Oryzias latipes: one gene and its partners. The protein of the gene in region 3 purifies or fractionates together with the protein of the main gene of each other region. This does not show direct contact. Links are inferred from orthologs where the notes say so. Each region holds a gene or a part of one and is shown on either strand. Other genes may lie near its edges.

Evidence for each region. Proteins that work in one complex are often made in the same cells at the same time.
Region 1: the proteins of utp4 (region 3) and utp15 purify together in Homo sapiens (co-immunoprecipitation; 4 studies listed by BioGRID and IntAct, counting the BioPlex papers as one, with this or other methods). This does not show direct contact. The link is inferred for Oryzias latipes from reciprocal best matches to the Homo sapiens genes UTP4 and UTP15.
Region 2: the proteins of utp4 (region 3) and wdr43 purify together in Homo sapiens (co-immunoprecipitation; 5 studies listed by BioGRID and IntAct, counting the BioPlex papers as one, with this or other methods). This does not show direct contact. The link is inferred for Oryzias latipes from reciprocal best matches to the Homo sapiens genes UTP4 and WDR43.

The regions. Positions count from the first base shown.
Region 1 is NC_019867.2:5,951,601-5,955,807, reverse strand, and holds the start of utp15 (U3 small nucleolar RNA-associated protein 15 homolog), read left to right. Parts: upstream 1-1,406; 5' UTR 1,407-1,602; intron 1,603-2,105; 5' UTR 2,106-2,119; coding exon 2,120-2,209; intron 2,210-3,133; coding exon 3,134-3,226; intron 3,227-4,207. UniProt on the Homo sapiens protein: Ribosome biogenesis factor. Involved in nucleolar processing of pre-18S ribosomal RNA. Required for optimal pre-ribosomal RNA transcription by RNA polymerase I.
Region 2 is NC_019880.2:27,244,105-27,248,171, reverse strand, and holds the start of wdr43 (WD repeat-containing protein 43), read right to left. Parts: upstream 2,802-4,067; 5' UTR 2,749-2,801; coding exon 2,542-2,748; intron 1,940-2,541; coding exon 1,805-1,939; intron 1-1,804. UniProt on the Homo sapiens protein: Ribosome biogenesis factor that coordinates hyperactive transcription and ribogenesis. Part of the small subunit (SSU) processome, first precursor of the small eukaryotic ribosomal subunit.
Region 3 is NC_019864.2:27,342,692-27,346,204, forward strand, and holds part of utp4 (U3 small nucleolar RNA-associated protein 4 homolog), read left to right. Parts: intron 1-296; coding exon 297-388; intron 389-530; coding exon 531-627; intron 628-2,554; coding exon 2,555-2,619; intron 2,620-2,722; coding exon 2,723-2,845; intron 2,846-3,230; coding exon 3,231-3,387; intron 3,388-3,513. UniProt on the Homo sapiens protein: Ribosome biogenesis factor. Involved in nucleolar processing of pre-18S ribosomal RNA. Part of the small subunit (SSU) processome, first precursor of the small eukaryotic ribosomal subunit.

The DNA.
Region 1 (4,207 bases), on a different chromosome or scaffold from region 3:
TGTTTATTTGAATGAAACTCCTGACAAGTCTACTGCGGGCTAGCAAAAGAAAAAAAAGCTACAAACACCGCGGCCTTAATGATCTTCAATTAGACGTAAGCATTTAGCTAAAAATATACTCTTTCATATTTTTGTGACTATGAATCAATTCTTATTGCATAATTTAAAGTTGCATTAAGAAGTGTGTAAAATGCTGTCAGACTAAAACAAACCTGGCGCTGGGGTGAACACGCGGTGCGAACGACCGTAAAGCAGCGGAGACGCCGGAAATGACGTCAACGAGTCGCCCCAGAAAACACTGCTTTCCTTACCACTGATTTGTGCAATTTTTCAATTCCAGTTTTGTTTTTTAATTGTTTACCATAAAAAACGTTTTTGTCAACGTTTTTATCTTTAATCATAATTGTATACTATTTCTAAGAGTAAACAATTTTGAGAATAAACCAAACTAAGTTGTTGACTGAGAAATAATTTGGGAATTTAAGCCAGTGATATGTATTAATATTAATAATTATTATTATCAGTATTACTTGGCAAGAACCAAGTGTTGTTTGTTTAATCCTCTAAATAAATAAATAAATAAATAAATAAATAAATACCAATGAGGAACCAGCTTCTTAATGCCACACTAAAACTTTAATTTAACATGCAGTTAAGAAAATGTTACTATTCTCCATACGGACCACAATATACTGCAAACAATCTTATTGGTTAAATTTTTTTTTTACCTTCCAAACACATTCATACCATGGCTAGTGTATTGTTTATTAAACTAAACTGCTCTTGTACACATTTTTATTACTAATCTAATTGTTTCTACAGTTGTTTTTACATTTACCTTGTTCCCATTATAATTATTTTAGTTGAAATTGTTGTATGGTACACGTTCAGTTGGTGGTCTTTTTCTTTACTCCGAGTGTGATGACAATAAAGCAATCTAGTCAACAGTAGCCTTTTAGAGAAAAATATCTCTGGTATGGCAATGTGTTTGCACAGCTTTTGTTTGAACAATTTATCTTCATAGTCTGTATATGTAATTGTATTTAGTATTTTAGACATTTTAAATTGTGTATGATAAATTCATAAATGTCCTATTCTTCTATTATATCTTGGAGGATAAAAATAAATCATTTGTATTATTTTTTTGGATTTGTTTATTTATTTTGTCTGATCCTTTCTTCTTATCTCTAATGAGGATTCAAGGATTCAACAGTAAATACTGTTCTGTTGTGGGATGAACAAATTATTTTCTATTCTATTCTATTCTATTCTATTCTATTCTATTCTATTCTATTCTATTCTATTCTATTCTATTCTATTCTATTCTATTCTATGTCCTGAAGATGCCACCTCCGACCTGAAGGGGGCAGTCAAGAAGTAACACTGTGACCGGAAGCTAACAGAAGAAGCAACATTTCTCTTTCTAGCTATGGCGTCCTCCTGAGAGCTGGCTGACAACGTGATTTAACGGCAAAATGAAAACTTTTTTATTTACCTGAACGAGACATCATATTTTTATATTCTTGTTGGTTTTCTACTTCATAAACACACATCCGTCCCTCTGTTTGTTCCAAGGTAGGAATAAATAGTAAACTACCAGCGGTAAGAAAAAGTGCTAAGTTAACTGCACCGCACCACCATGGTGGTCTGCTGCGCTTGGGTTCATACCAGCGGTTTTAAATTTAAATGGTTTAGTGTAAATAATAGGTAAATTAGAGCTTCATAACTAAAGTAGTTGGTCATATATTTATTTATTCATTTATTTATGTTGGTTTCTAAAAGTAATATTTTATTTCTTAAGTAGCTAGCTAATTCAGTTGATATTTTTATGCTAGTAAGTTTAGTTAACGATGCTGTTCTTTGAAATGTTTTGTATGATTGTTTGGTTGTAACATGTTTGTTTAGCTTCATCCATATATTTAGTATTTTTAAACTGTAATATAAAAATATATTATTTATCCTGTAAAAAATCCAACTTTGTTTTTGTGGTTTTAAAGTTTAATTTGTCAATGAAAATTATTTGATTTGAAGCATTCAACGAGCGCATTATTGTATATTATTTAGATGTCACCTTTTATTTGTATTTTTCCGGCTATATAAATTAGACCGATCTGCAGAGATGGCTTCATATAAACCAACAAACATTCCAGTTTATCCCAAACTCGGAGAGAAGATCACAGAAGAAACACTGTACTGGAAAAACTACAAGGTGGATACTTTTTTTCTATGAATATCCCTTTAATTGACTTGAATCATAATTTATCTTTATGACTAATTATTGTTGCTGCGTTCAGATCCTGTCGAATAATCTGAAAGCATGTAATACCGGTTGCATGGTTGGTGGTTTTAAAGTAAATCATCTGATGTATGCAGATGATTTCGTTGTTTTTAGCCCCAGCAGCTCCGGATTACAGCAACTTTTAATTGTTTGTTCCTAATTTGGTTTTAAAAATGATATTTTATACAATTTTAATAATAATTCGCTGTGTTTATTTGTCATACCAAGGAAGATGTTACATTGAATTTTCCTGCTTTTAAACGTTCTGTTTCTGAGCTTGATGTCTGTCACATGACTTACAGATGATGATTATTTCCACAGACAGGTGTACTTTATGTGCTCAGGCAAACACGCTTGCACGCAGGTTTTATTTGTGTTCTGACAATCTTACAATTATTCTATTCAAACTTACTGCACACCCTTATATATTTCCCACCTGTGGACCAACTACAGGGCATCCAGCATGGGGAAGCTGCAGGTAGCCTATAACGATGCCCTATAGTTTTTTTTAAACAGCCACAGTGGTGCAGTTTGTTGATGCAAGAATTAATACTATCCAAGCTTTGTTGAGATATTATCTATATCTATGGTAAAATACCTGTCCCCTATTTGGAGGATTTGGTATGGTCACTTTTTTAAACTTTTACATTTTTTAGTTTGCAATAGTTTGTCTTTTTTTTTAAAAGTTTATCACACTTGGTAATCTTATTTAATTGTTTTCATGCTTCTACTATCATGAATGCTTTTATTTTTATTCTTAAATCTTTTATTTGCTTTGTGCTTCTTGTGGCAAATGGACCTTGAGTTTTTAATAATAAACTTCAAACTTCATTAATGTTTTTTTTTCTATTCCAGACGCCAATCCAGATAAAAGAATTTGGAGCTGTGTCGAACATTCACTTTTCCCCTGTGACTCCCTATAATTTTGCTGTGACAGCTTTCACAAGAGTAAGTGTTTTCTTTTGAGTCAGGTTGTTTTTAATTTTTTTTATATTTAATTTATTTCAGTTGTCAAATTCTGGACGAGAATTTGAACACCTAATATTGATTTACAACATTACAGAAACACAGGTTACATGGTCAGGGAAACCTCTTACAAAAATGTGGTTAAAATGAACTTAAATTGGTTAAAAATCACTTAATTGTAAATGTAAACTATTAATTTTTCTAATTAACTATTAATCTCCTTATCATAAACCCACTTCAAGGGTCGTCACATATTTTACATTTAAGAAAGGTTTATACGAATTTGTGTTGCTCATTCAGAATATGTTGTTTTGAGAAACATAAGCAAATATAATAACTTTAATATAAAGCTGAGGAAATGACTTGTTAATAAACAGAGTCGACATTACTAAGGCTACGTTCACACTGCAGGGTGAAATGACCCAGTTCCGATTTTTTTTACCCCTATGCGACCTGTATTGGATCTTCTCATGACAGTCTGAACGACACAGATCTGATCTTTTCAAATGTGACTTGGGTATGTTGTCCTGAATCCAATACGTATCCGATCTTTTGAAATGCAACCGCCATCTGAATGGCCAGGCCACATGTATCTGACCTGTACATCATTGATACGCTACAAACGTCATAATTCTGCGTTGAAGTAGGCGGGAACGAAAGCATAAACAACAACCATGGTGGACGATGCTGCTGAGACCAGTCAGTGGAAGGGAAGTGAGGTCACCAATTGGATTAATATTTGGGGTAACAGCTCTATTCAGGCCAAACTCAAGGGCTCTTAACACAATCGGGCGCCTTTCCCGCGATGACTTTTTTTCTTTTCCGACCGTGGTCATCCTCCTTCGGGGTTCACTTCCCCGTTCGGACCCTCAGATTCTCCAGGGTGGGTTAATAAAGAGTCAAAAGCAGTTCTGCAGGGGGGAAGCCTTCTTTTATTACCGTTCTCCTTCCTCCGTGACACAC
Region 2 (4,067 bases), on a different chromosome or scaffold from region 3:
ATAAAAATTGGTTTGTATTTATTCATATTTAGGGGGAATCTGACTTGAAATATCAGATTGAGCAACTATACATTATGACTTAAACACTGTCCATATAACCTAACCTGACAGAATCATATTTATGCATATTCTATGCAACTGTAATTGTCATTTAAAAGGTTATAATAAATAAACAATGGGTTATTTAACATTAAGGAGTAGTTACATTTATTTTTCATTACATTTAGTTACATGTATAAGTTATATCTGGCCCTTGAGGACAGACACTATGCTGATGTGGCCCTCAGTGAAAATGAGTTTGACCCCCCTGCTCTACATCACACTTTGATATTTATAAAACTGTATTAATATGAGTCTGTTAACAATGTGAAAAATGTTGGACGTGTTTTACTTGTTTAAGGCACAGAAAAAATATGTTTATGTACTTTAATCAACTAAAAAGTCATTTAAAGTGATTTGACTGTTTATTTGAACTGGATTCGGTGACACCCCCCCCCCCCGGCATTCCAAACAGGAAGTACAAAGTGGTTCCAAGAAACCAAAATCCCATAGACTTCTATAGAGAAATAAACAGCTGTTAGTCAGTCGATCTATTTGTCAGAATGACTCTTTTTGATCTGTCAACTAATTTGAGTTTATTTGGTTGAAGCCAGTCATTTTCTATGGGTGACGTCACAAATAATTCACAGACCATGGATATGTGATACGGCTCATCGTAGAAACACTCAACTGTTCTATCAAATATGAATGTGTACATTTTTTTTAACTGTATATATTTTGGGTATATAGATTGGGGGGGGGTGTTAAACCACCAAATGGCTCCCCCAGGGGACGGGACAAACGTGGAGAACATTTCTCATACCAAGCTGCATGAACTTTGAAGATTCTTTCCTTTGGGTTTTGCCTGTGACTGATGCTGATGCATCCACATGTCTGCAGCTAGCTTGAGCATTTTTCAGCCAATCACAGTTACATTGTCCATTCCAAAGAATTCCCTCTTAAACTGCTGCTTTGACTGTTTTCCTTTCTTAAATTGGGCACAAACCCAGAATGCTGCAGTTCCTCAAACGACCACTGGAGGTTGGTCCAAAAACCAGCAAACTCCTATCCTATGTTGATAACTTCAACTCTTTCCCCAAAATAAACAGAAGTACAGCGTACTGTTATGTCTGATTTGAATGGTTTTGCCATTTATCAGAAGCAAAAGTGATTTTTTCCCTGCAAGTTGAAATTCCTCATCCTTTAAACTATGATGTATATTTTCTCTGAACCATCACATAACTACCATTAAAAAAACAAAAATTCTCATTTGAAAGAGAAAATGGACCAAATTTCCCCTTAGTGGGATTAATAAAATATCATTGATTGAAAAATATATATATTACAGCAGAATGTGGCTATTTTTTAAAGTGCAATGCATTCAATATACAACCTTAGGCAAAGATTTGCTACCAACAGTCATGAATTAGTGCAGAAAAACCAACATGTCTGCATTATTATCTTTTTGTTTATTTCATTCTTTACTTTTCTCAAACCTTCAATTTAGTAACAATGAACTGAAAATAGAAAAGCTTCTAGAATGTTTTAACCAACACAGACGTGAGTTTCTTTAAAGTTTTCTGCAGACTGTGAGGAAACAGCATCAGCCTCACCGCCGTTTCCTCTCCAGACCACTGCAGATGATTTCTAACCCATCTGTCACATCCAGGTGTGTGTTGGAGGTATTATGGGATTTTTAGTCCCAACTGCAGGTTTGAGCTCTGATCACAGTGAAAGGCGTATTTTACATCTGTTCCAAACTAACCAGGGAACAGTGGAGGCTTCCCTTAGCAGTGCTGTAGAGGAGGACGCTGCCAGCCGCTGTGCCCATCGCCAACAGGTCGGCCTTCTCCTCCACCTGCACCGCCTCCGATTTCCTCTTCTTCCTCTGAGGTCCCTCCTGAAGAACATTAGATGAATTATGAAAACATGCCCCCACATCATCTATTCATTAGTTATGTCCTCCCCAAACAATGATATGCATATTATTTCAAACAAAAAGCCACATTCTTAAAAACTGATTTGTATAAAGACAGACAACTAACCTCCACACTGATCGCTCCTCTTATTGATCATGGGTTGTAGTACTGATAAAGTCAGAATGCTAATAACTAAGTTATTTAAATGGAGACCACCAAGCTCATCGTGACAACATATTAGTTACATATATACACATATTTATTCCTGTTTGGGGAGTCACCAACGCTACACTTCAAATGGGACATCCTGCTCCTTCACTACTACTAACCATGTGGGACAAACATGTGCGCTCGTGTGGAGCTTTTCATGCTAGCTAGCTAGAGTAACTATTCCGATAAACAAAACTTTTCGACAAACATTGAATTTGTAAAGCAAAATCATGACCCAGTAATGTAACAACCTATGAATATAGTTTATCTTTACAGTTTGGATCGCGTCCGTTCGATAGGAAACGCGTGCCACATAGTTTTTTCGGGCCTCGCTCCGACGCTAGCTCGTGCGGCTAACGGTAGCTTCACGCACCTTCACTGTTCGGCATGGTCCCCAGGCGATGCACGTGCAAGTGGCACTCAAATGAGCTGAAGGCACGTATTCTTGGTGAATAGTTTTGCTGTCTGTATTCCAGATTCGAAGTCTCCCATCCTGAGCGCACACAGCCAAATACTGGCGTGATTTGGGTGAGAAAACGCAGGGTAGCTGCAGCGATGAGCTGCCACCGTCAGACGCCATTTCTGTGGCTCTTCTTGCGTCTGCGTGCGCCGCCGTGCTTACACAAACCACGTGCGTCCAATCACGGGCATGCGCACTGTTACTCACCAAGGACTGCCCCCTCTTGCCCGCCAGAAGGTGTTGACATAACTGCAGGTTACATTTTGTGATGACACTTCAAATTTCTTTTGAGTTATTTGCCTAAATAAGCAAATATTATTCACATTATATTTCATTAAGTACAAATAAAAAAGTTAAAATATATCACGTTTCTGACCATTACAAATGAAGATAATTTACTTTTAGTTTAGTTGTTTTTTACTATTATAACCCCCCCCCCCCCCTACAGTTTAAATACAGTTTTAAAGGCCTTGGTGATTCTGCAGATGAAAGGACTTTCATTGTTTGATTATCTTTCCATTGTTCTGCTTTGTTAAATTAATTATGTAAGTGTTTCCATAATTATGATGCATATTTGACAAAATCGTACAGTGCTCCTTTGTACGACGGAGTATTAGGGCCACCAAAAAAAAAAAAAATTAGAGCCACCAAAAAAAAAAAAAGTAAAATTACGAGATTTTATCTCGTAAATTTAGGAGATAAAAACTCGTAAATTTAGGAGAAAAAAAGTCGTAATTTTAGGAGATTACAGTGGAAGTTAGCATGCAGAGCAGACCGACTAAACTTTGTTGAACAGGTGAGCTGAATGTTTATTGATAACGTTCCAAATGTCTGGAAGGTCATTTGTTTGATTTACGATTCATTAAAGTTTTATTTATTGATGGTTGGTTTGCAGGATCTCTGCAGCCCGATGAAGCCGTCGTCGGTGTCCCTGCAGCTGTTCGCTTGAATCCTTTCTTCTTCCACCAAAGACAAGACTCTACGTCTGTGTGACGCTTCCGTCACACAAAAGGAGGAGCACTTTTTTTTGGCATTTTCAACGTTCCAAAGCTAATATAAAACACTATTTTCATTCCTCTTTATTGTTTTATGCTGAAACGGGACATTTCATCTGCAGGAGGGGGCGTTTGTAACACTGTTTACTTCCGCATTGGTGTTGGGATGACAGGTTCATGACGTAATGAGACAAATGAACTTCAGGATATGTGAATGAAAAGGAGAATAAAGGCTGCAGCGATTGTCTACACCCAAACGTGTCTCTGAGCTCCTTATTTTACATATTAAACTCCGCTTTACTGACACTGAACCCCGGAAAGACTGCTGCACGGAAAATAATCTGATTTTGAGTTGCCAAAAGGTTCAGAATCTCTTTGTTTTAAACCTATAATAATCCGGAAATGAAGCTTCACAAAAGGCTCCACATACTTCATCTTCAAGCT
Region 3 (3,513 bases):
ATGGATGCATCTGCAGTTTTTTTGATATTTCTATTTTTTAATGAAAGTTTAAATTGTTATTCTCTTTTTTCCTTTTGGAGGAAGTGCAGCTTAATGTTAGGTCGTGTAGTACTCACCCAATTAAAAGCACGCTAGTTAATAAGTGTCTCAATATTTGAGTAAAGGGAAAAATAAAATAAAAAGGAATCTAGAGTGATAAAAGTTTCCTTTAATTCTGAATGGACCAGAAACAGTGTGAAAATCACTCATTTCCTTTGGAATAAAATTAGTTAATTGAAGATGATTTTTCCTTGCAGGTATGGACACCCAGCTGGTGGTGCGACCTTTGCTGGATAAGGTGGAGAAAAACACCAAGGAGTCTGCGCTGCGTAAAATCTTGTTCCCGCACGTGAGTGTTTAGAGAACAGAAACTTTGGAGTTTTTACTCTGAAGGATTTGTTTTACAAAGTAAAGCTTTTTTTTTTCTAAGTGAAAATGGAGTCGTGTACATTGTTGCTATAGTGATCTGCTCCATCCTCTCATCTTCACAGAAAAGTCTGGTTTGTTGTGCCAAGAAAGCCGGACTCCTGCTGTTCCAGTTCCCGGATCACCTGGAGCTGTGGAGGCTGGGGGAGAGCAGCGCAAAGGGTGAGCTGGACCATCGCCTCCTGCAAAGTTCTCCGTGTTCACACAGGTTCCTGCAGAACAGGGCGGAGTTTAAAGAAGAAAAAAAAAACATTTCCCATAACGTGTACTGTAAGAAATGTAAAAGTTTAGATGATTCTGTTCTTCATGTCAACTGGACTTTAAAGGTTGATCTTGGAGATGTTTGGCTGCTCCTCTGAGTCTTTCCTTCAGTCCTCTTTGCCGTTGTGATTTCTGTGCTAAAAGCGTTTGTGATGGTGGGAGTCCAACGTGAGATATGAGTCGGTATGAGAACCTCATTGAACCGGAAACCCACAGACACTTCAGAGGATCTCAAAGCTAGGAGGTATCGGAACATCGCAACAGAAACCAGAACGCCGGTGTCAAGGATGGAAAAGCTGGACTTTGGTGAAACCCAAGAAGAGGAGCCCAAGAAGGAAGGAGGGCAACATTTGACCTTGTGCCTAAACTGCAGGATCTTCAAACATTCCTGTTACCTTTAAACTGAGACAAATACTGGTCCACCCTAAGAACACAACGGAGGAGAAGCAGACCAACGAGGTCCGTGTTATCCAGTGCAGTCAAGACAAAAATCATAGCACAGAAGAGCCACAACATCAGGCCTGGACCAGCAGCTCACCTGAAGGCTGATGGACTCTCCATTGTGGACAGATCAGCTGGAAATTAAAGAAGCCATTTTTCGTCAAAATAACCTGACTCAACATCAGTTGTTGGAACTGAAGAACACTCAGAGGATCTTCATCCTTTAGAGTCCAGCTGCTCTGCAGAACGTGACCTGCATGTTGAAGAATGATCCATAAACGCTCCACCTTTGCTCACTTCAAGTTACTAACGATGTGAAAATGTTTGAAATAACCAAAAGAATTGGTTTTAAAGGAAATGGAATCTGTTGTTTGATGGAATCATGAATTGTTGCCGTATTTTTAGAGTGTTTCAGCAGACATTGCTGCTGCTTGTGTGACAAAGGCGCCGAGTTCCTCTGTGTCCTAAAGACAAATTGAGGCAAATTTCATCCTTAATTTTTTTTCCTGAGAAAATGTCACAGAACAAAACATCAACAAAAATCTCAAATTTTTATTTACATTTAAACAAAACGTTACAAGACTATTAGGACCACCAAAGATTTTAGTAATAAAAACAAGTACGAGAAGAAATTGTGAGGAAAAAATTGCAATTTTGTGAGGAAAAAAGTTAAAATTTACCCCAAAAAATGGTTGTAAAATTATGAGGGGGAAAAAACGAAATTTTACAAGAATAAACTCAGAGTTATAAGTAAAAGAGTCAATGTTTTATGATGATAAACGTGCGAATTTACAAGAATAGTCATAAATTTAATGGTGCAAAATTCTGTTTACTAAGAAAATATGTAAAAAAGTAAAAATAACCAATGAAAGAGCATTTTCAGGCCTCTCAGAAGAAGGTTGTGGATGGAGTTTTGCACAACCAAATATATTTTTGAAAAAGTGTGCCTTTTTCCTTGCAAAAATACAACTTTTTAATAATAATTTTACTGGTTTATTTTCTTAAATTAATGTATTTTATTATTTTCATGGTGACCCTAAAACTTTCTTAAAAACTGACGTGTTCAAACTTTTGTCACATTCCTGAAAATTTCAGGCTTGACTTACAAATACAAAGCTGTAACTTTAAGCTCTTTATAAAGTACTTTACATTTAATTCCATTTAGATTTAAAATTGAAAAAGCTTTTTTTTTTTTAAACAAGTTTTTTTTTCCTTAGAGAAATTTAAAAAGCAAGTGTTTGGAAGTGATGATGTGCCCAAAAATAGTTTCCGTAAATTCAAACTAAGAAAAAAAGTGCAGGTTCCTTTGCTTTTCTCTGACTGTGTTGCTGAAAAAAAAGAAAATAGGACTAAGATCGTTCATAAAGATGCCGGTCTTTGTTCCCAGGACAGGCTGGAGATCGTCTGCCTGTGATGAAGAATCCAGAGAAGCTGCTTCAGCTCCAGAACAAGGTCTGTGTTGTTTTTGTGTGCAGCTTTTCAAATCCGTGTTGAATTTCAGTCACGGCATCACACCGTTCTGACGGCATGCCCCCCTCCCACCTCTCTTTCTCAGGGAGAGGATCACATCTGCTGCAGCGCCGTGTCTCCATGTGGGAGCTGGGTGGCCTTCTCCACCGTCTCCAGCGTTCGTCTGTACAAACTGCAGCTCAGCAACGGGAACATCAGCATCAAGAAGGTGCGGTCAAAGCCTCAAAAACCTCCATCGTCCTCTTAAAAAATGACCCTTTACTGAAAAGCGACGCTTCGTAAAAAGATCTGTTAGATTGCACAGATAAACGCTGCAAAGCAGACAGGCAGCTGGGCTTAAGGCTGGAACAACCAGGAGTTCTACCTGCAAAGCATGAAGGGGCAGAAGTGAAAGAACCAAGAGCAAACATTAGAGTTTAGTCGTTTAAAGATGCACTCCTCAAAAATACTTCTAGTACTAGTCACAATTGATGTTGTTACTACAAATGTTCAGTAAATGATGCTAATTTTCTTTCCTCTATCCTTAAATCTATTCTCAAACATGTCCTCTCCTCTTCCTCGTGTCTTTTCTTTTCGTTCCTCTCGTCTTCCAGGTGTCCAAACTGCCAAAGGAGCTACACTCTGTCCACCAGCTCTGCTTCTCCTCTGACTCATCCAGACTCTTTGCCTCATCGGCTCAGGCCTCCGTCGTTGTCGCTTCGCTGGACCAGCTGCAGTGCAAACACCTTCACACGCTCAAACCAAAGTCTGGTGAGTTCCTGGATCCATGGAAGGAGATTCAGAGGAGCAGCTTTTTTTTTTATCTGCTGGAGATAAAGACCTGCACCGATCACCTTTTGAGCTGGTTTAGAAGTGTTCCCAGTGGTCTTTATTTTA